Caenorhabditis elegans: one gene and its partners. The protein of the gene in region 4 purifies or fractionates together with the protein of the main gene of each other region. This does not show direct contact. Each region holds a gene or a part of one and is shown on either strand. Other genes may lie near its edges.

Region 1 (6,253 bases), on a different chromosome or scaffold from region 4:
AAGACGTCAACCCTAATTTCAATATTCAAGGCCACCCCACATTTTCCCCTACAGGGCATAACTTACTAAAGAATTTACAATTTACCGCGCAAAACTCAAACAAAACAAACGAGTAGTTGACACCAAAATTATCCTCGAGGACATCTTTTCATTGTTTTCAGAAGTCCGTTCGCGTTGAATCGCCCGTATTTGGAAGATGACTACACCGACTACTATCGAGATTATTTAACCAAGACAAATAGCAATTTTGCGATCAGGGACTATGAACGCAAAATTCGAGTTTTTGATTCTTCTATTTATTATATTCGTGTACTCTCTTATGCTCAAGTAAGTTTCAAGACGTGTTCATTACTTCCTAGTGTGCTCTCTTGAAAATCTTTTAATCCAGTTTTTATATATGCAACATCACATGGAAAAAACCTTATCTCAGAAGAAATTTAGACTGATCTAGACATTATGTGATGTAGATTTACAATAAAAATACATGTAGTCTTGAGCTTCATCTACGCTTTTAAAAATGTACTTTCCAGAATTTAACGTTTAATGAGCTATGTTGCTTAAAACGTTTAAAACTTTGGAGTGCGTTCTCATAGGCACAAAAAAGCAGACGTAACTAGTTTCGAATGTTACCTACATACATACATACAATTAAAGAAAGATATGTACATATATGTTTGAGTTTTCTTGGGAAAATAGGAGTAGATTGTATTTAGAAATGTTGAAGCCAGCATTGAAGGAACGCAAATAGGCATAGCCTTTGTGGCATTTTTGAGTCTACCACCAGGCAGTGTACCTGTATCCCAGAGTTCATAGCACTTGAAGAACGGATCGTCCTTTAATCCTTTAAAAACAAAAAATATATAAATTAATACCTAAAAAGTGTATTTTTTCAGATTTTTTTAGCCGGTATTCTCCTGGTGACTGATGTTTCCAAAAACGTACTTCTTTGGAATTACATACAAATGAATGGCGTCAAAATTGAAATGCTCGCTCATGTCATATTTCCCATATTTGCTCTGATCGTCGGTTTTATATGTCTGACAGCTATTCTCAATCCATCAAAGGCATTGTCTAAATGTGTTGCCATTCTGCTGCTTGTCATTATTGTGCCAAATTTTATATTCCCAAAATATTCAGTTTTTATGAAAAGTGAGTTTTAGTTTGAAAAGTTTAAAATTTAAAAAAATCACATTATTTCAGCAGCAATAGAATCAGTGGAAATAAGTCAAGTAATGGATCGAAGTCTTTTTGGAAATGATATTGATATGATAAAATCAGAAACTCATAATCGAATGTCAAAGATTTTAATGTTATCAACAAATCATTGGCCATTGGGAGTATCTGATTTAACAAGTCTTCCAACTGATTTTGTTCTTATGATGCAGTATCTACTTATTGCATATTCTGTATTTTCATTATCCCTTTTTATTTTTTATGTCATTACTTTGTTTTGTTTTGTTCGTTTACTATCTGTTCAATGAACATATATTTTTCATACAATTTTTTGGGAGTACAAGTTCTGTGCATTATATTATAATAACCCTTTTCAAACAATTTGAATTTTGGAACAAAAGAAACAGAATTCGAATTAATCTTGACAAAAAAATATGTAATTCAAGTTTGTATGCAAATGTTAACAGAAAATATAAGAATAATTCAAATATTTATAAATCGAATACATATTGTACAATAGGCATTGAAGTTGCAATCACAAACACAATGTTTCGAGATTTACAATTTTGGAATTCCTCCGACGACTCCTCCCTCAATTCCGCACTCGTTAACTCCACGAATGATACGGAAATATCCGTTCTCTCCCCAATCCTCATTCCATGAGTTGGCACAGAGCCAATATGGTGTTCCATTATCAACTCCCCATCCGAGCATCTTTACGGCATGTCCTCCAAGACTGGCTCCAGCGGTATGAACGTAGACTCCTCCGGAGTAATGCTCAAAATCTTCGTAGACAGTGAATGCAACCTCAACTGGACCATGAGTCATGATTTCCTTTTGGATTTCAGCAGCCTTCTTTGAGACGGCGTATGCAGATTGTCCGAAGTGAAGATCTTGTTGGTAGGTGAGAGCATATCCAGCTTGGCAAGAGCGTTCGCATTTGTCAGTTGGGTACATGTTGGATGGGCATGGCTTGTAATGAGTTCCATTGACGTGATGTTCACATGGTGGATATGGGTATGGCTTGCATCCAGTCTTATCTTGATAAGATCCTCCGGTAACGTATCCCTTCTTAACATAGTGACGCCAGGCTTCAATTGGATATCCACCATTGCATCCATTTCCACAGACCATTCCACAGCAAGCATTGATATCGTCAGCAGAGATGGAAAGGATAGTTTTGGCATTTGACGCAATGCAAATACGATCAGAAATAGTTTCAGCAGCAGAGACAGCCCAGCACGATCCACAGGATGATTGATCACGGATCTTGGAGATGGATGGGCAGTTTGGCCATGCGGTACGGGAATCGAATGAGTCTGGAACAGCAGCATCCTCGACTTCTGGATGAGTCATCTCGAAAACCTGGAAACAATTTCATTAGGATAAATTAGTTTGAAAGAAATCTGTATTTTTTGGGAAGCGTTTTTCAAAATCTTTAAAATATTCAAATTTACTAACTCTGTACTCTTCTGGGATCTCGACCATCTTAGCTCCCATCAATTGCTTCTTAATGGTATCTGGGTAAGAGCTGAAGTATGATCCGAGCTCAGCCTTGAAGGAAGTCTGAACCTTGTTGACGTAATCAACAAGTTCCTGTCCACGAAGCATTTGAGCTTCAACTGGAATGGCATCTCCGTGCTTAACCTCAACATTGTAGGCGTTGACGGCGACAAGGCCGACAAGAAGAGCAGCAATTGCAGTTTTCTGAAATTGAAAAGTTTTTGAAACTGAAGTTAAACTTCAGGAAAATTAAGCCTTACCATTTTTCGATTGGCTGGAGAATTGGGAAATTCGACAGTCGACCAATTTATCAAGCGCTTACCAGGGGTTTTATAGTTTTTTCGTTTCAAGCGACTGATAACTTTTGAAGTTTGGCGTTTTCTCGAATATTGCTGATAAGAATTAGGCATTTCGCTACTAGCTCCGGTTTCATTTCGAAGTGAAAGGCCTGATTAGACACGTGCATGTTTGCGGGAGAATTCAAATTATTTGCTTAAACTTGGACTTTGAAAGCGAAAATTTGCAGGGTTAACGAGTTGTAGAGGTGATTAAAGAATATTATATTTTGTGCTCTCATAGTGTTATGCCTTTAAATATAATCCCTAGTAATAGACTGTTCCAATAATTCTTCGAACATTTTAATAGGTGTATTTTCGTACTATCCTGGTCATATCAACTTTCCAGCAGTACAATTTTAAACTGAAAATAGTTTCCTTACAATTATCAGCTCGTTTTTTCGGTTCCCGAAAAAAACATCCGTGTTTTAAGATAATGTGACGTCACACGCGACCATAATGCGAGATTGCATGGCATTGACGATCTGGATTAAAGTACATACCAGTCTATCAATTTTGTTTTAATTAATGTTTGATATTTAATTTAAAAACAAACATTCAAACAGATTTTGCTAGTTTGGCTCTGGTGTGTTAGCTGTTATACTAACTAGAATACATCGAGCTATTAACTTTGACCTGCTTAACTTGTCATATGACATGTTTATCATAAAGATGCATGTACGTCAATGTTTAGGTTATCACTATTCTTATCACAGGTTCGTAGAAGATCGATTCCAACTCCCACAAATCAAACAGACTACATTTCACTACAAAACACGAAATAGGGGCTACAAATGTCGTTTAAACTACTTTAGACACCTCAAATAAAACAAAAATAATCTGCCCCATGCCAGGCTCGAACTGGCGACCTTGGCATAACCTATAGACTATAAGTACCACGCGCTAACCGACTGCGCCAATGGGGCACGGCCCTAACGCATGAGAATTAGCCTTGACAAGTATACTGCTCTCCTCGGTCTCCTAGACTCTCTCCGTCTATGCTGTGTCTCTGTGGAGGGGTAAGGGATACACACATGAACCACTGTGTTGTGCGGTCTCTTGACCATTGCCTTACATAGAGGAAAAGGTGGGAGACCTAAAGAGCAACGAGCGGGGAGAGACGCAGACATTTGTATTTCAAGGGAAAGGGGGAGAGGTGAGCTAATGGATATTACGAATCGAAGATGAGATTATTAAAATAGGGGGCAACAGTGTACAGCTAACGGAAACTGGCACGGAAGTTGGAAGATGTTGGTAGTGGAAACACCTTATTCAGATTTTAGTCAGCATTTTCAAACATCTTCTAGCAGAAATCAACCCGCAAAATGTACGGATTGGTCATTGAAGGTGTTCGGTTTATGATACAGGAAAACTGGGGACCCCAAGTTCTTCTGCAGGTTTGACTTTTTCTAATTTTTAAATACCAACTTGAATGATCTTTCAAATTCCAAATGAAAGTTGAAAACATTTAACTTTTTAATGACTCCGTATCAATTATATATTGATGTGTAGGTGAGTAGCTATGCAGCCAATATAAAAAAGGCGCCCATTCAAATATTAAGCTTTAAACTTTATGACGTCATTAACCGGAAAAGACTTCTAGAACATTGCGATTTTTTCTCGATTTTTTTTCTAATTCGACGTAAAAATTATCTTTTAAAGAAAATTTATCTTTACATGTTCATAAGACCAAAAATATCAGAAAAAATTGTTATAAAACTTCCAAACTTTTGAGACAGCTGGCTAGCCAGTCTTTCGAAGCAACAATTTTAAAAAACAATTATGCCTAAATCAAAGAAACTTCAAAACTAAAAAATCATAATTTTAAATAACATACTTTTCGTTTCACAAGTTTGTTGAAATGAGTTTGATTTTCAAAGAAAAAACGAGACGTGATAAAATAGTAAAATTTGGCAGATTCTCTATATTAGTCATCACATTGAAAACGAATCTCGTGGCGAGACCCGCTTCGATAGAAAATAAAATTCCCCTTTAACTGTGTTGAAACTCTTTGTGTCGGATGAATTCGAGTGCAACAAAGAAATGCCAGCTGGTAATATTCATACTGTTTAGAGACTAGCCTTGCGCATCTATGTATATTATAATATTTTATCTGTCAAATGATTATGAAATTGCAAAAAAAAATTGTTATTTAACTCTTTCGCAAGTCTTGAATTATATATGGATCTTAATATATCTGTTGCACAATGACCGATTTGGCTATTGAATTAGCCAAATAACTTGAAAATTCAACAAAAATATTAGGTTTCAAAATACAATATGGCATGCCATTTTAATAGAGAAAATACGGCAATTATGTATAATTTCATATGAGGAAGTTTTTATATAGTAAATAGCAACAACTGGTTTCAAAAAAAAATGTTTTGCTGGTAATGAAAAATTTCAGAAAATTTATCTATCTAATAGTAGGTATTCTTTTTTATATTTTCAGGTTCAAAAGCTGACATCACTGTCAGAAAAGTCAGTATCAACTCATGATCAATATTCGGAACACGTTGTTCCTCAAATGTTCAAAGCAATTCATGAAATCACTGGAACACCATATGAACAAATTGGAGTTCTCGCTGGAAGATTTTTCGTTCAATTTTTGATTCGAAATGGTTATGGAGATTTGATGAATGTTATGGGAAGGAGATTTTCGGATTTTATCAAAGGACTTGATAATATTCATGAATATTTTCGATTCAGTTATCCAAAACTCAGAGCTCCGTCATTTTACTGTAAATCTGAAAGTGAAGATGGTTTAATTCTACATTATCGGAGTAGAAGAACTGGATATCTTTCTTATGTAATTGGACAACTTGTTGAATTGGCAAGAGTATTTTATCAATTGGATATTGGAATTCAAGTATTGAAAAAGAAAGAAAAAGGAAGATTTACTTTTGTTGTTCTTAAGATTTCATTTGATAATGTTGGCCTTGGACAAGACTTGAAGTGAGTCAAAATCTTTTTTGGCTCTATTTTTGAAATTAAAATTTCCGATTTTCAGATTGAAAGAACGCGTAAAGAATCTGAATGAATATCTGCCAGTAGACACCAAATCATTCCTTCAAATGTTCCCTTTTCATATTGCCTTCAACAAAAAGCTCGAGATCTTAATGGCCGGACAAGGTCTTCTCAATTTAATGCCAAATATTCAAGGGCTACTAATGACTGATGTATTTGATCTGCAACGTCCATGTATTAAGTTTACTGCAGAAGGAATTATGGTTCATCAGAAT
Region 2 (5,792 bases), on a different chromosome or scaffold from region 4:
AAATCTTCTAATAAATAAAAGGCAAACATCAAAAATTGTTTGAAAATTTAAACAAGTCGAGATAATATTTTCGGCGTTTCAAAATTTCATCAAGCATTCAATTTTGTTTGAAATTTTTGGTTAAATTTCAGGCAAAAAGTTAAAGAAATTTCTAGTTTAATAATGAAATGTTGAGAATTTTTTGTAAATTTTCTAAATTGAAACAAAAATCCAAAAACTTTACACACAAATTTATAGGACGAGAATAAAGTTCAACAACTGAGATTAAAGTTCTAAAATTTCCAAACAAAATATATATTTTCAATTCAAAATAGAAATATGGAATTATTTTTAAAAAACTGCAGTTTTCTAATTTCAATTTTTAAACTTTTTTTTCTTAAAACTTCAGCAAAAATTAAATCAAGTTTCAAGTATTTTCTGTAAATTTCAATTTATCACTTCTTATTAGAATATTAGATTATCCTTTTGGTAATTTTTTTTAATATAATGGTATTGCTTCATCAAAATTTATTTTTCAGAACTACCATACGCTATTTGATGGATATTTTCACGTCATTTGTTGCCATTAACGCCACCGTTCATTTCTTAATTTGCCTCGGCGTAAACGCTCATTATCGAGACACTGTTAAAGAGCTATTCCGCTGGAAATTTGAAAAATTGAGGAAAACTTCAGATGACTCAACTATGAATTCTCAGAGTGTTGGCCAACCTAGAATTGTCGCTTGATCAATTTTTTTTCAAATTTTTCTACTTTCCAATTTTTATTTTGAACCCCGTGTCCTCTTATTATTTTTGAAATTTAATTCCGCATCCCATCAAGATTACCCTCCGACCAGAACCTCGTCAGACCCCCACCCACACCAGCGCACGTGATAATTAATCATAGTATACCTATACTTGTTGACTATATCCCCCTTAATTCCCATGAGAAGCATCTCATGTGTCTTAATTGAGGGGTACACAGCGAGTTGTAAAGAGGTTGTCCTTAACAACCAAATTTCTGAATCTTTTGCAAACTCATTGCTTTGAATTTCACAACTAAAATGAACCCCGATGCTCCGAGTGTCGAGGAGAAGCTCACCGTCGATGAGTGCTACGTTATTTCCAAGGTGAGCTGAGATTTATGCTAACAAAAAAGCTCGAGTGTTTTTCTTATTTTCAGGAAGATTGGTTTGAGCCAATTTTCTGTAAGCCGAAGCTTATCCCGTTGAAGACTGTGAAAATGCGAGAGATCGAGAAACGACGCAATGAAAACATGGAGAGGGTCAAGGCGATAGAGGTGAGTTTTTTTTTGAGAAACATATAATTTACTTATTTACATTCTTTTTTCAGACAGCTTCAACGTCAGAACAAAAGAACCCAGAGGTGGTACCCAAGGAGCCAAAACCAGAAAAGCCTCGGAACCCGGAAGAGCTCAAGAAACAGAATGAGTTGAACAAGATCGATTTGTGGATCGCCGACGAAGATCCGGCACGTCGCAAGTGACTATTGTCTACTTGTAAACAATAATCCTAACAATCCTATTTTTAACTCCAAACTTTTCGCGATTTCAATTTTCAAAAAACATTCCAGACAACCTCTAAACCTACATGATCATCCTAGTACTTCTTGGCCCAAGCGCTATGTCCAAAAAGTCAGGTCTACCCTATGTACTGCCGTGTAGTCAAACAAGCTTCACCATCATGCCATTCACCTTCTTCCCATCATTTCTCCTGCCCTCTTATCTCTAAAAATTGTGATTTCTGATTATTTCAATAAATAATAAATATGTTTTGCGTTGAAATTCTGGTCATTGAGATTTTTTAGGTGGTCTGTAATCATGGGCTCTTAAAACTTTGATACACCTGAGCTTAGGCCAAAGCTAATCCTTAAAAAAAAGCTAAGCCTAAACGCTAAACCGAAGCTATTGGGATTATTCATGTGATGCCAAAAAATGCACAAATGATTTTTATACAGTTTTACCCTATCCCTAAAAACGAAGGCATTTTTTTTAATTTTTCAACATTTTTCGACATTTATCTACATCGGCCGACAGCCCGCTTCACATGAAAAATGTAGAAAAATGTAGAAAAATGCAAAAAAAGCATGTGTTTTTTTTACATTTTTCTACACACATGAATAGATAGGGGAAAAATGTAAAAAATACATTTTTGCATTTATCGTCATCTCATGAATAACCCTATAAAGCCTAAGCCTGGGCCATAGTTTTTCTGGAAAATATCAGACATTAATCTCTATTTGCCACATGGATTCCAGCAAGTTTCCACGTTAAAATCTTCGCGAGCCGTCATATCACTAAAATTCCTTATCTACATAGTGTTCTTGACACATCATTAAATTAGTTGCTCGCGGAGCAACAACTGCAAAAACGGTCTTCGTTCGGAACACGTAAGCATGCAAACACGCGCTGGAAGAGCAAAGTGCATGCGGTCACAAACATTTTTTCTCGGTATAAAATGCCAAGCGGGGTGCCACATTTCGGCATAGGCATCAATTTTCACTGCTGCTGCTGCTGAATCAACACTAAAAATGGCCGAGAAACGTGAGTTTTTGGATGTATGCTTATTTTTTCAAGAATTCATGTTTTTTGTTCAATTTGAAAAAAATTTAACAATAAGACCGAAAATGGCGAAAAATTGAAATTTTCAATTTTTGTTGATTTTTCGGCAGAAAAAAGTATGTAATTCTTTAGCAAGTTATTGTTTTGATTTTTTACATGTAATTGTACAATAACCTCATATTCCAGATATTATAGGATACAACACCAAAAAATGATTTAATTTTTTACATTTTTAGATGTCAGGCTGTCCCATTTTGGTGAGATCTACAAAAAAAGCGGGAATTTAGACGCAGACTTCTCAACTGATTTTACATGGTTAAGAACATGCTGACACGTCACATATTTTTGGAAAAAAATTCCCGCATTTTCTGTAGATCAAACAGTAATGGGCAGTCTGACACCACACGCTTCCAATAAAAAAAGTTTATTAAAAATATCGGAAACTACCCGAACATACAACCAACTTGAAAAGTACAGCACACACGTGGTGTCAGGCTGTCCCATTACGGTTTGATCTACAAAAAATGCGGGATTTTTTAACCCAAACAAATGTGACGTCAGCACGTTCTTAACCATGCAAAATCAGTTAAGAAGTCTGCATCTCAATTCCCGCCATTTTCGAAGATCTAAGTAGATCAAACCACGCAAATTACCTAATAAAAATCCAAAAATTGAAAATTTTCGGATTTTTTGTAGGTCTCCTAATACCCTACTAATATGTAAAAAAAATTTCAGTCGCAAAAGCCAAGGAGGAGATGACAGCCGCCGGTCTCTCGCCAGAATCCATCGAGGGAATTCTCAAAATCGCCGCCACTTACAAGAAGAAGGACGATGAGCCAGAACGTGATGCTGCCACTTCTTTGGCAATTATCACAAAAATGATCGGAGAGACCAATGAGTATATTAAGGGACAATCGGAAGCCGATCAGAAGATCTACGCTGTCATTATTGAGAAGAAGAAGGCCGAGCTTATCGAGGCCGCCAAGAAGCAATAGATTTTCTTTTTGTTTTGAAATTTTATTCTATTATGAGCTTGTAATAAAATAATTTTTGTAATTTTAAACTTGTAATGGTCACATACTTTTGGGAAAAAAATTCCCGCATTTTCTGTAGATCAAACAGTAATGACACCACGTATTTCTAATGAAAAAGTTCCTTTAAAATTTCGGAAACTGCCCGAACCTACTTGACCTACTTGAAAAGTAATGTACATACATGGTGGCTGTCCCATTACGGTTTGATCTACAAAAAATGCGGGATTTTTTTGCCCAAAAAGTGCACGCTTTTATCCATGCGAAGTCAATTGAGAAATCTGCATCTCAATTCCCGCATTTTTCGAAGATCGAAGTAGATCGAACCACGCAAATTTAATTCAATTATGAGCTTGTAATAAATAATTTTTTTGTAATTTTGAACTTGTAATGGTCTTTCCAAGTGATTTTTCATGGAAAATATATTCTTGTAAATTTTTTAAAAATCTCTATTTTTTCTTATAAAATCAGCTTTTTTTTCGATAAATTTTTGTGACAAAAATTGATTTTTTAAGATTAATTTTTCGATTAAAACCCTGAAAATTTTAAATTTTTTTTCGAATTTTTTCGATTCGATTTTTTCCCAGACAGTTTTTCGAATTTAAACAAAAAATTCATAAATTTCTATTTTTTTCTACATAAAAAACACAATTTGGCACATAGAAAAAAGGCGGAAAAATCACATAAAATATGCTTAAAAATTGGAAAAATCCTGAAAATACGGGGCTTCAAATCACATAAAATATGCTTTAAAAATTTCAGAAAAAACCGAAAATTATGAGTTTTGTTTCTTCAAAAACTGATAGACGACACCGAAATCCTTTGCCTGGTACTGTGGATCACGAGCCAGAATACGGTAGATTTGATGAGCCAGTGAGCCCATTGGAGTTGGTGCTTGAGTATTTGTTGAAGCATTTTGAGCCAATGAAAGGTCTTTTGCCATTAGAGTCGTTCCGAAGCCGCCAGCATAACCCTGAAATTGGAAATTTTAGGTTGATCGGCGGAATTTAGGAGACTTTCATTGAAATTTTTGAATGAAATTTCTGGCAAATCGGCGAATTGGCACATTGCCGGAATTGAAAATTTCCGGCACACCGGCAAACCGGCAATTTGCCGAAAATGAAAATTTCCGGCAAATCGGCGAAACGGCAAGTTGCCGGAATTAAAAATTTCCGGCAAATCGGCAAACCGGCAAGTTGCCGAAATTGAAAATTTCCGGCAAATCGGCAAATTGAAGGAATTGAACGTTTCCGGCAACTCGACAAACCGGCAAGATGCCGATTTGCAAAAATGTTCCAGATATTCGATTTTTTTTTTGAAAATTTCAACTTTTTTGAATTATTTTTAAATCAAAATTCCTATTAAAATCATCAAAAAATTGGAAAGTTATAAATTTAAGCTAAAAATTCAAAAAATGGCGAAATTTAATTTTTTAAATGAATTTTTTGAGGACAGAATCAAATTTTGAGATTTTTTTTTTGCATTTTTACGGATTTTCAGTCAATTTTCCATCCATACCCTGCACGAAGGGATGTTTTCAATGACTCCGGGTACTGGATTGTACGTGTCCGACGACCAACACCTTCCTGACGATGTATTCACGATTCCGGCAAGCGCTTTCGCGTCGAGACCCATTCTGTAAAAAAAATTTTGTTGAATTTTTTAGAAAAATATATTTAATTTCAATTTTTTGCGCTGGTCGTTTTACTTTGCTGATGTGGGAAAAAAAATGTTTTTCAAAATTATTTTTGACGAAACTGTTTTTTTAGAATTTTGGTGGGCGGCATTGTTTCGTCAACAAATTGGGCAAATTGGCAAATTGCCGGTTTGCCGGAAATTTTCAATTCCGGCCATTTGCGGGTTTGCCGGAAATTTTTAGAGGGAATTTTTTTCTGAAATTTTCAAAAAATAAACTGATCAAAACTAAAATTTGCCGAAAATTTTGCAAATTCGGCAATTTGCCGGTTTGCCGATTTACCGGAAAATTCAATTCCGGCAATTTGGCGATTTGCCGATTTGCCGGAAAATTCAATTCCGACAATTAGCCGATTTGCCGGAAATTTTCAATTCCGGCAATTTTCCGATATGCCGGAAATATTCAATTCCGGCAATTTGGCGATTTGCCGGAAAATTCAATTCCGGCAATGTGCCGATTTGCCGGAAATTGTTAATTCTGGCAATTTGCCGATTTGCCGGAAATT
Region 3 (6,534 bases), on a different chromosome or scaffold from region 4:
GAAGAAGCTGTACAAGAAGCTGAAATATCTAGATCACGAAGAAGCTCAGCTGCAAATTTGAAATTTCTGGATATTGAAAGTTTAGATGATGAAGATTACTGGTACAGAAGCTCGAGCCAACTTTCGGATAGCCATTTGGACAATGTGGTGAATATAAAAAGGCTCAATAGTTAATTAATTTTTATTTTGTTTAGATTCAACTCGCTATTGACTTTGAAAAACCCCTACAACGTCCTTCCGCGATTAGTCTTCCAAGAATATCGGAATGTTGTGAAGATTTTGAAGAAGAGGATGAAGACGAAAATAATGATCTGGGAATTATTATAAAACTATGAAAGATTCATTGATCTCAAATTTTGAATTTATAGTGAAAAGCAGAAACCCAAGCAATTATTCTCAAGCTACATAAATTACTAATTCCCAATATTTTTCAACAAGAAATATTTCTAACATCATTCTCAAATTGATTTGTAGAACCAGAAGAACACAAATACTGTGGTGAAAGTCATTGAAACGGCCGTCGAGGAGTTGCAGAAGTCTTTGTCACAATAGCAATCGAGGCGCTCCTACAAACATAAAGTTTGAAAACTGTGCTGTAAAAATAGCGCAACTTACAGTAGTATATCCAGTTTTCTTGACCTTTTGGTTCAAGTCAAAACATCCGTTTGATGGAGTCTGATTGTTGTCTTCGCGAACGCTAGCGCATCCCTGAAAGTTAGGATCAGTTGCATACTTTTACAAGTTTATAAAAAAATTAGATACCTTTGTGTATGAAGTCCATTTGAAATTGATACTATTGAAGCCAACTCTGTGGATTTCTAAAAAGAGAATGGTACCAGTGATTCGTAAAAAAAAACAACAATCATACTTGCTCTTTTGATACAAAATGTTCCATTGGTACAAACATCGGCACCGGACGTTGCTTTACAATCTCCGTAGTACTTATCAGGGCTGATATTCAGTTCAGTGAACATTTTCTTTGTTAGCTTAGACATGTTTTCCTGACCTCCGCATTGATGGCATTGGAGCGGGTATGTTGGAGTTATAAGAAAAATTAGGAATGCGAAAAAGAAAAAGTAAAAATTAGAAGGCATTTCGAGGAAGTGAATGAGTCAAAAAATCAGAATGAGCCAAGAACTTGAGACGCTCCAAATTTAAAGGAAAACGTTATAGACAAAGACCTCCATGGATACGCGTCAAGTGACTTATTCATGTGTACAAACTACGTTTCCTCCTCTCATTTCGATGGTCCATCATCTTTTCATTTTCCACAAAATACGAAAATAGCAGAAATCACAGGACAAGGAACCACAAAAACAAAAGAAACATCAGAATACGAGAATATGAATGTATGTATTTATGAAAGAGTCTATGCAAGAGATAAACAGAATCCAACACGTTTCTGTCCGATATCATGTACATTACAATATTGTCTCATGAATGGTCCACCGAGAATCCATGAAGGTCCGAAACCAGCATAGTTTTGTGGAATTGCAGCGAAAAGGCAGGAGTTTGTCTGTAAATTATTCACATAATTTTTGATATGTAGCAAAACTTACATCAATCTTCAAAATGTAGTTATTTGCTCGAATAACATAGTTGAATTGGCCAATTTTCATCTTAATTGGCCCCGCGTCGGCATCACAAGGAATGTTAAATACTTGATTTGTTGGGTCCCACTGAAACAATTTGTAATTTTTAACGCAATCACAGAAAGTACATGCTTACAGTAGCTCCTGCAGCTTTAGCCAAGTTGTCAATTGCAGCTTGAGGTCCACATAGAAATGAAGTAGCGGTATCGGTGATTACCTCATATGTGGTTGTGGATACATATGAGCCAAGAGAAAATCCGGTTGCCTAGAAATTCAGAAAAAATACAAAAATCAAAACTCTCCAGAAATACCTGGAACTGAAAATGTCTAGCATTAGTTAGTTCCGCATATCCAATAACTGGCCCACAATGGTTTTTATCCAATCCTCCATAAGTGAATGCACCACTTGCAGAAGTTCCAGGAGCACCTCTCTGACCAAACCATGTAGTGAAAAGTGGCTGATCAAGTAGTCCTTGATTGATAGCGTTGATGATTGGAGGGGTAATGTTGTCAACAGCTAATGCAGTAAATGCAAGACCAAAGATTCCCTCTTTTGGGCTCTGCAAATGCAAAATAGTGAAAGTGAAGGAACTTGAAAAAAACGAACCCATTTGAAATCTGATCCGACAGTGTCTGCAACACCAAGGTATGATCTTGGAATAGCGAGTTGTGCTTCTCCTGATCCACCGATCTGAAAATTCCATTTTATCCTAGATGACTCCAAGAAAAGTTATTCACAGTACCAGACACGAATTTACTCCTAATTAAATTTTTGTTAATACTTTTTTACAATTTATTTATGCATTTAAATATGTAAAATTTCAGAATTTCCATCAAATAACCTTAACAGTGTCAATTCCCAATGTCCCGTAGGCATCACCGCTAGCATATTTGATCTGCCATGGGCGGTTGGTTGCAATATATGTGGATGAAGCTTTTTCATTAAATAATCTCTTTTTCTCACAGTACGTTCTGTAAAAAACTTTCGAAAAATTGTGATCACAAACGTTATTCAATTTCAAAACAGGAATACTAACGTGCAATTAGTTCCTGGAATTAAGAGATTGGCTGATCCGGTATCTAATACAACAATAAAGTTTTGATCAGGAGTTCCAACAGTAATATTTCCCATGTACTCATAGTACACATAATCTGTTGTGCTTTGAACCACAGTAGCCAGGTTAGATGATCTACTAGCAACCATACGGTCGCGGTACTCCAAATAGGCAGGATATTCTCCATTTCTGATCATTTCAATCATTCTAGATTCTTTCCATATTAATTGATGTTCGAGGACTGCAGCCGTCGAAGACCCAATAAGAAGGAAAATAATGGAAATAATACCCATTTTCTGAAAAATAAAAATAAATTGAAACACTGAATGAAAAAATAATTATTCTCCGCTGAAATGGGAAAGAAAACTAAATAGGGTTATCGGCGAAACATTCTAACTAATTGAATTCACTGATAACATTGCAACATCAGATTATGAACTCTGATACTGTGTTTCAGAATATTTATTTGAATTGAGTCTGATAAATGGATTACCGTATTTTCCCTACGAGTTTTTTATAATTCAACTTTAGATGTCAGATTCACACGTACTAGTTCACGCTTGCCTTTCATCAACCAGTTTTGCACATTCGTTTTTCATATTGACACTAAACAAGTCTGTAAAAGTGCACATGGTCATAAATCAGGCAATCGGGCTAAACGTCTCTCGTCGGAGACCACCCAAATCTTGCGGAATGTCGCCTTTCGTTTTCTACAAAACAGCATGTTCTCAATTTTGAATGGACCCTCGGGACCCGAGACTCTTAAAAAACCAAACGAAGAAGAAGGCCACCCTGGGCTCTCCCAGTTCGTTCTTCTCATTTCCTTTGTAAAGCGGAATGATAGTTAGGGTGGCGCTTTTGTTTGCAGAAAAAAACGAAGACGGAGGGTCCCTATGGTACAAAAAGTGCAATTGGAAAAGGAACGAAAGAAGACGGAAAAGAATAGAGAAAAAACTGGAAGCCAAATTAAATTTAGTTGAAGAATGAGATGAAGAGGAATGTTGCCCTATTCACTTGAATCGCATTTTCTTGTTTCTATTTTTGCTGGTTTCATCATTTTGAGTTGATTGTATTTATGTGATTATTACGATTTTACAAACACCACGCACATTCCCTTTAACGATATTATAACTACAAATATCTGAAAAGGTTCCCTAGCTTTATACGAGCCTATCAAAACTTCAACCTCAAATGCTCCACATTGTCTGGTTGACACGATTTATTGTCACACAAGTGTAGAAAGAATATGATCGTTTCGATATTCAAACGGTGATAACCTTTTGAAATTGTTTTCCCATTGACAGCAAGTGAATTGATTAACCAATGAATGGGAATACTGTAATTAAATGACTTTTTATACTTCACTATGAGCTGTGATTTGCATAATGGAGATCTTTAACTATTACAATAATTTTTTGAACATCAGTAGATACCTAGAAGTACACTAAACTACTAAAGTAGGGATAGAAAAATAACGGTTATGTTTTTTAAGTTTTCCAAATTCTGAAAAATTAGATTTTTTGTCTTGTAGGTAAAATTCCCATAAAAAAGTTATGCACTTTTCCGTTTTTTGAACTTGAATATTTTTCCACTTCCAAATGGTTTTTTTGTCATTCACTATATGTTGACTCAAACTGTTCGAGTTTAAATTTAGTTTAAAATTTAGTTTTTTTCAAATTAAAATTTCTGAACACATATAGTGTTCCATATGTTTTTTTTCAATACTTATCTCCCCTTTAATCCTCCATGACCAATATTTCAGGGTATCACAACTTCTTGCCGCTCTCCTCATTTTCCCATTATGCTCAAATGCACCATGGAAACTTGAACCTTCGACCTCACTTTCCCTCTCATAAAATATATCTGTGTCTCTTCATCACTCACACTATTCCCAAATCTAGACTCATCTATCACTAATGTCACCGTTTCGTCGCGTGTCGCTCCCCCGTATTGTCCCAACTTGTTCTACTCGGTCCTTCTCCATTTCCTCTCTGTTTTCGCGCACTTTTACCCAATAAATCGAATGAGCGAAAAACGAGAGGACGCGGGACGTACACAACTCGGAGACAAAGACAATGTTGCCCTGTGTGAAGAAGGTGGCTAACCCCCCGACCCGCTAAGTTTTTGGGAAAAGAAGACAAGGTGACATGCAAAAATTTATGGATCTGGGTATACTTCAGGACGGTATACTTCTGAAGGCTGGGAAAACAGTTTGGAATTGCGTAATACAGCGGCGGCTTTTGATTAATTTCAGAATTCTGAAATTCATGACAAGGTCGTAAGAGTAATTTGACGTTTTGATGAAAGTAGCCCTGTATAGTTAAGATGCTTGTTCACTCATAATAAGCTAAGCCTTCAAGGTATGCACAAAAATGACTAAATGGTGTCAAAGTGGCATGCAAAAATTTATGGAGCATCCAGCTTTCAAATCTTTGTGAAATCATACAGTAAAATTTTTGTTGACACCATAAAAAAGCACTGGATAGTTTGCATTCCGCTGCTAGTTAGATTTCATTTTTTCGCAATCGATCGGCCAATCGGCAATCAAGAAGAGCAAAGACTGGAGCCCCTGATTGGACAGCGCCCGTATCCGTCCCACCTGAAGTTCTAGTTAAATTAGGTTCCTTACTTTTGGAAATATGTGAGTAAGTAACAGTAAAAATCTGATAAAATTAATAACAACTAGACCATTTACCGATTTTTTTAAAAGGTATATTCTTTTGATTCTTGAGCATTTCTGTCAATTGGTTCAATTGAGAACGTCTTCAAAATGTTCAGCCTAATAATTTTCATTTGATCCTACTCAAGGGTGTCAATGTCCCGTAAAAATTACAAAAACGGGACAGCGGGACGTCCCGTTCCCGTGATAATTTTAAAAACGGGACAACGGGACGTCCCGTTCCCGTAAAAACACTCAAAAAACGGGAAAACGGGACAAACGGGACACGGGTTTTTTGAAGCTTTTTGAACTTTTCTGAAAATAATTTATTTTTGGAATGAACTGTTGCAGGTAGATTCTGTACCCCATTTCAACAATGTCAATTTTCAAACATCCCATTTATTCTGAAATATGTCCTGAGTCTTCTACACGTCGTTTTACTTTTCAGACATGATTCCCACGATTTCTGTGCACTTTGTGAAAGTACACCCTTTCTGATTCCATTTCCGTACCACCAAGTGAATATAAAACATAACCTCTGAGAGTTTTTCATAGTCACATGCTCTATTCGCAGGTTTTAGTGTCTTGAGAAGACAATTGTAGTTGTGCTAGACGTGTTGATTCGAATTGAGGTTATAAATGTTATTAAAAATTAAAGAATTAAAATAGCATTTATGTGTAATTTTTCTGATTTTCTGATTTTTAGTCAAAGAAAAAGACGGCAACGAGTCGAGACATTACTTGGGTATGTTTTTAGATTCTAATCCTTTCCGGCAACGTGTGTGGTCGCTTTTTCCCAATTCACTTCTCGAAACCTCCCCATTTCCCGAAGTCTATCGCTTCTCGCTCATCATTATGGTATTTGAAGCGAGATGAGCCGATTGCAATCCATTTGTACTTTTTGAATCGAACACACCTTTCACATGGTGTTCTGTGAATATGTCCCCTTGTCGTCGAAATTATTTTAGATAAAAAATTAGCAAGCAATAAGCCACCAAAGAAAACTTATTCTAAGATACCGCCCATAACATTTTCGCGCGCAAAAGTGCAACATTCAGTATGGGTTCGTTTGGCTGTTTTTGAGAGTAGAACACGAAGACTCCGCCTCTTTAAAGTATTCCACCACTACCACCTTCCGGTACTTTTTGACGTTCTTCATATAATTTCTTACAATGAAATTTAAGAACCAAATTTTAGATTTATGAATAATTTTAGCATCGATACTACC
Region 4 (5,295 bases):
TATCATCATTTTACCGACCAACTTAATTAAACGAAAAGATTTTTCCAATAAGACGTAAATTGGTTTCAACGAAATAATTAAAAAGTTGTGTACGTACATTCTCTCAAAATAGGTTTAATGCCGCATAACAGGAACTGTGCAAATTGTCAAAAATGCAACTCAATAAACAAATATTCTAACAGGAAATGATCGACTAAATATATATTTTATGTGAAACTCATATTTCAATCAGTGATCAAGTTTCAAATGATAACGGAACCGATTCATGTTTTACTTGACAGGTTTGCAAGAATTGCGGAAATTAAACTTTTTAATCCTCCCAAATCTTCTACGAAATTCGTTATCATTTTTTCTAAACCGGACAACTTTTCAAACCACATTCTTGCTACCACTTCAGTGTCCAAAAAATAAAAATCGAGTTCGGTTCGCCCTCTGCCCCAAAATTGTCATTTTCAGCACGTGTTTGCAACAAGTTTTCCATCGACGTCAATTGATTATAGAGTATATTTGGAGAGCAAAGGAAGTGGAGTAATTAGAGAAAGCACAGGGGAGTTTCAGAAAAAAAAAGAGAAAAGTTTTTGATAACGTCGCGGACATACCGAAGAGCAAGCATAATAGAGAAAATGGGTTGATGTCTGATAAGGAAAGAGCCCCGGGATGTTTGAAGGGGGTGGAGATTAATTGAAACGTATAAATGAGGAGCTTGGGAAGGAGTGGAAGGTCATATTTCTGATTTTCTGTTAGACTATAGTAGGGAAAAAACTCCGCTTTTGGTTATTTAAGGCCACGAACGGTTTTATAATTTCACCATTTATTCGTTTCAGTAGAAAAATACAGTTTAGCCGAACTCACGCTGTAGGCAGATCGTCATGATGTACACCAAGATTCATTTTAACTTGGGCTCGAGTCTAAACAGAAGTCCGAGCCTGATCCTACGCTTCTTAATAACCAGTTCCCCAAAGTTATTCTACTTGCATTCTACTCCCTTATCATCACTACTTATCACCATTTCACCATTCAAAACTGTCATTTTTTTCAATGAATTCTTGAACTTTCAGCCTCTCACAATGCTTCTCAGGTGTGTCATTCTCTCAGTTCTTTGCATCGCTGCCACTTCTTTTGTTCTCCCAGTTGTCGACAACTTGGCAGACTGTGCTGCACCAAATGGAACCGACAAAGTGATGCACTGGTGGCAGTGCTCATCTGGACCAGTTCAATTTTTGAATGCTACTCCATACGACTCTACCGGAAAACAATACGAGTACCCAATTCATTTGAGTCAGCCAATTGTTGTCAAGACTCAAATCAATAACCCAACGAGCACATATGTGTCGCCAAATCTTCGTAACACCGTCAATATCTGGAAGTATGGAGGATGGAACGGATGCACATGGAGCTCAATCCCAACTCTCGGTCTTTTGTAAGTTTATATCTTTAAGTTAATTCTAATGGATTAGAATGGGTGAACTGTTTAGGCTATTCTCGACTTCTAAATAATAAATAACGATTCATCTTCCAGGAAGGACCTTGACGCCTGCGCAAACGGAGTCCCATGCCCAGTCCGTCCAGGAAACCAAGAACTTGACGTCATCATTGACTTCACCAAGTTCGACCAAATCATCGCCTTACTCAAGGACAATCAGCCATATCAACTCGAGTACATCCTTCACGACAACCAATCCGGAGACACCTCATGCATGATGGTCCAGGCTTGGGCCTTCCTTAAGTAAAATGCTTTCCCATTTGGCGATTGGCTTTAAGATTTCTAATTATATTTGCACTATAACACGGGCGTATATTTTAACAACAATAAAATGTACATAATCTTGACTTTTTGTTGGTTTTTGTTCATTATCAATTTGAAGGAAAAATTTCCGAAATCGAACTAAAGTTGCGATAACATTTTGATAAAAAAGAACTATTCGCACTGGAAAATGTTGCATATTTGCCATTTTGGCAATGAACCAAAAATCAAACAAGTAAACAAGGAATCAGAAATTATTAATAATTTCCCGATTCAGTTATAGTTTGAAAACTGAGAAATTTCAATAAGTACCTAAAGTTGGAAGTATGAAGAATACGTGCTTGCACAGGTTTTTTAAAACTTTGTCTTTCCTTCAATTCATCGGATTTAATGATCAAAATAGAAGAAGAATATAAAAATCGCATAGACGTCAAAAATGAAAATTTTCTTCATATCTTATGAGTACAACGAGTTACTTTACCACGCGTCAATTTCTTAGGCCTCCATTGTATCATAATTTTATTTTAAAAAGCTTGGAATCAGTTATTCATTGTATTAGAAAAACATGGTGCAGTAGCGGCCTTCATATTGACACGTGTTACAGTAACCCGCTTTCCGCGTGGCGAGACCCATTTGCGTAAATTATGACGGAAACTCTCATCTTCTGACGTCTACGTAATATTAAGACGCTGATAAAGCTAAAGTTGCTGAACAAAGTAATGAAAAATAAAAATGTATGGTACCCAAGTTTTAAAGGCGCATAGCACGAGTGAGCAAAATTTTCAATCGTGGCGAGACTTCGAAAGGTGCATTTCTCAGGAATACTCAATATACATATGAAATTTTTTCAATGAAAATGAGTACTTCCTGTGGATATTTCCGGTTCTCTGTGACCTCTTTTTTATTCTAGAATCACAATTACATGCAAAAAACTATTAAAACGCGTGGTTTCTTCAAATTGCCATGTGCTTTGATATTTCTCTTATCGTAGTTTTTCCTATCGAATTTGATGATCATTTTGCAATTTAGTTTTCCATTTTCTCAAATTTCCCAGTTAACCAATTACAGATTCACTATTTTATTCCAACTTAGATCACATCCACTAGCTTTCGAAACGAAAAATTCTACTTCAATTCCAGATGCTTGCTCGTTGTCTGTGTCTCTTCGCCCTACTTGCTCTCTCGTCGGCATGCGATCAATGGCCGAATACTACAGAGACAAAGGTCAACTGGTGGCAATGCTCAAATGGACCAGTTATGGTGACCAATGTTAATCCAACTGATAAGAGTGGTTCGCAAGTTTTCTGATAGTTTCTACGAATGTATAATTGAATCCAGGTAACAGTGAATATCCAATCCGTCTTACTGAACCACTTCTCATTGCAACATCCATCAATGATCCATCCTCAACTTATACTACTCCTGGACTTAAACAAACTATCAAGGTCTGGTCATGGAATATGGCTACTTGTGGATGGTCTTCAGTACCAACTTTTGGACTTTTGTAAGATTTTTGCTTCTTACAGTAACCTACAGTAACCTTTTCCAGGAACAACATCGATGCTTGTACCAACGGAGTACCATGCCCAATTGAACCGAAAAACAAGGTCATCAATTTGGAACTCGACTTCTCTGATACTCCAGCTATCATCAATCTTCTCAAGGTTATTTTGATGTGTATTCTTCGAAAGTTAAACCCCCAATTTCAGAACGATAAGCCTTACCAACTCGAGTATCTTCTTCATGATGACCCGAGCAAGGAAGACCTTTGCATTATTTTCCAGGCTAGAGCTCTCACTCATACTTAAATTTTGAAGTGAACAATTTAATAAAGCAATAAACTTTTTTCTCAACAAAAATTATAAATTGAATTCTTAAATAGTGTAACAAAACGTGGAAACTGGGTGAAATATGGGAAACAACCGAATGCGAAACAAAACAGGAAAAATTTAGGCAGTGAGTTGAAGCTGCTTGTAGACTTGCTTTCTGTATTCTTCGAGTCCTCCCTCCAAAGTTGTCACCATTCGATCCTTCACAACCCAAAGTTCCTTGCACACAAGCTCGATGAGTTGCTCGTCGTGAGAAACTAAAACGACACCTCCATTGAAAACATTAAGCGCTTTTCCAAGAGCTTCAACCGTTTCGACATCCAAGTGATTAGTAGGCTCGTCAAGAATCAAGTAGTTTGGCCTGAAAAATACTATGAATTAGACGGAGTTTGAATAAATTTTTTTTTCTAGGAAAAAATGAATATTTTTTGAAAATGTTGCTATTTTCAAGCAAAACTCACTGCATCAAGGCTAAATTAGCAAATGCCAATCGAGACTTTTGACCTCCAGAAAGTGTCTCAACAGATTGCAAAGCCATATCACCAGCTAATCCAAATCTTCCCAAAGCTGCTCGATAATCTTCTTGAGTCTTTCCAGGATGATTCTTCATCAACACCTCAATAGCTGATGTTTCCATATCCAATTGATCAACGTGATGCTGTGTGAAGTAGGCAATTCGAATACGACGATTCACATTTCGAAGTCCAACGGATGGTTGGAGATCATCGAGCAAAAGTTTCAACAGTGTAGTTTTACCGGCTCCGTTTTCTCCGACAATACAAATCCGGGAGTTGGCATGAGTTCCGAGATTGAGCTTTCGGAAAAGATAGGGAGAATCTTCGTTATAACGGAAGGATACTTCATCGAGTTGGAGAACTGGATTACTGAGAACTTCGCATTCTGGGAATTTGAAGTGAATGTCTGATTCGAGTTCGACAGGAAGAAGAACAGGCCTGAAAATCATAATAAAATTTTTAGTGACAATATTTTATAAAAACTCACAATTTTTCCAACATCTTGATTCTGGATTGAACCATTGGAGCTCTTTTAGCGTTGTATCTGAATTTGTCAATAAACTCTTGAGTATGCTGTCTCAATTGCTGTTGTGATTCGTATTCTCTCTGCTGTTGCGTCAACTTTTCCTTCATCGTCTTCTCAAATTGATCGTAATTACCCTTGTAGTGATCCAATCGTCTGGTGTGCAAATGAACAATGTCCGTGCAAATTTCGTTGAGGAATTTACGGTCGTGAGAAACCGTCAAAATAGTTCCTTCCCAACCTTGCAAATGTCCTTCCAACCAGTAAACCGCTCTCATGTCCAACATGTTAGTCGGTTCGTCAAGCAACAAGAGATCTGGCTTCACGAATAGAGCTCTGGCAAGGGCAACTCTCATACGCCATCCTCCAGAGAACTCCTTTGTTGGACGCTTCTGCTCGTCTGGAGTGAAACCGAGACCATAAAGAAGGGAAGAAGCCCGTGCTGGAGCTTTGTCAAGTTGGAGAGCTTCCATTTCGATGTAAAGTTTTGAAAGCTCGTCATTCCATTTGGTTTTCTCGGCGTCATTGATATTGTCCTTGTTTATACGACTCTGAAATTTTAATTTTGAAAAATGAATTAATTTTTGTTCAAATTAAAAATATATATTTCAAGAATGGAATGAATTCAAATCAGACTTTTTTGTCATATTATTCTCATTGAATATTAATATCATTTTCTGAATAT

The links.
Region 1: the proteins of F42A10.6 (region 4) and cpr-9 fractionate together in Caenorhabditis elegans (co-fractionation; one large-scale study listed by BioGRID). This does not show direct contact.
Region 2: the proteins of F42A10.6 (region 4) and dct-16 fractionate together in Caenorhabditis elegans (co-fractionation; one large-scale study listed by BioGRID). This does not show direct contact.
Region 3: the proteins of F42A10.6 (region 4) and asp-13 fractionate together in Caenorhabditis elegans (co-fractionation; one large-scale study listed by BioGRID). This does not show direct contact.

The regions. Positions count from the first base shown.
Region 1 is NC_003283.11:11,999,860-12,006,112, reverse strand, and holds cpr-9 (Peptidase C1A papain C-terminal domain-containing protein), read right to left. Parts: upstream 3,061-6,253; 5' UTR 2,940-3,060; coding exon 2,937-2,939; intron 2,881-2,936; coding exon 2,635-2,880; intron 2,539-2,634; coding exon 1,732-2,538; 3' UTR 1,529-1,731; downstream 1-1,528. Other genes in the region: F57F5.3 (ABC transmembrane type-1 domain-containing protein), read left to right, coding at 162-327, 894-1,149, 1,201-1,481; gcy-33 (guanylate cyclase), read left to right, coding at 4,337-4,408, 5,464-5,966, 6,022-6,253.
Region 2 is NC_003283.11:20,495,746-20,501,537, reverse strand, and holds dct-16 (DAF-16/FOXO Controlled, germline Tumor affecting), read left to right. Parts: upstream 1-2,480; 5' UTR 2,481-2,529; coding exon 2,530-2,542; intron 2,543-3,295; coding exon 3,296-3,555; 3' UTR 3,556-3,614; downstream 3,615-5,792. Other genes in the region: dct-14 (DAF-16/FOXO Controlled, germline Tumor affecting), read left to right, coding at 1,044-1,109, 1,163-1,279, 1,333-1,485; B0250.5 (putative 3-hydroxyisobutyrate dehydrogenase, mitochondrial), read right to left, coding at 4,367-4,564, 5,110-5,227.
Region 3 is NC_003283.11:8,640,251-8,646,784, forward strand, and holds asp-13 (Peptidase A1 domain-containing protein), read right to left. Parts: upstream 2,944-6,534; 5' UTR 2,941-2,943; coding exon 2,630-2,940; intron 2,565-2,629; coding exon 2,435-2,564; intron 2,284-2,434; coding exon 2,200-2,283; intron 2,153-2,199; coding exon 1,904-2,152; intron 1,858-1,903; coding exon 1,729-1,857; intron 1,680-1,728; coding exon 1,560-1,679; intron 1,517-1,559; coding exon 1,370-1,516; 3' UTR 1,352-1,369; downstream 1-1,351. Other genes in the region: acd-4 (DEgenerin Like), read left to right, coding at 1-147, 195-335; nssp-59 (Protein quiver), read right to left, coding at 459-566, 616-708, 763-818, 869-1,094.
Region 4 is NC_003281.10:6,174,450-6,179,744, reverse strand, and holds F42A10.6 (MD-2-related lipid-recognition domain-containing protein), read left to right. Parts: upstream 1-2,883; coding exon 2,884-3,034; intron 3,035-3,081; coding exon 3,082-3,247; intron 3,248-3,292; coding exon 3,293-3,407; intron 3,408-3,452; coding exon 3,453-3,551; 3' UTR 3,552-3,588; downstream 3,589-5,295. Other genes in the region: F42A10.7 (MD-2-related lipid-recognition domain-containing protein), read left to right, coding at 1,068-1,420, 1,520-1,730; abcf-3 (ABC transporter domain-containing protein), read right to left, coding at 3,693-3,933, 4,034-4,525, 4,575-5,161.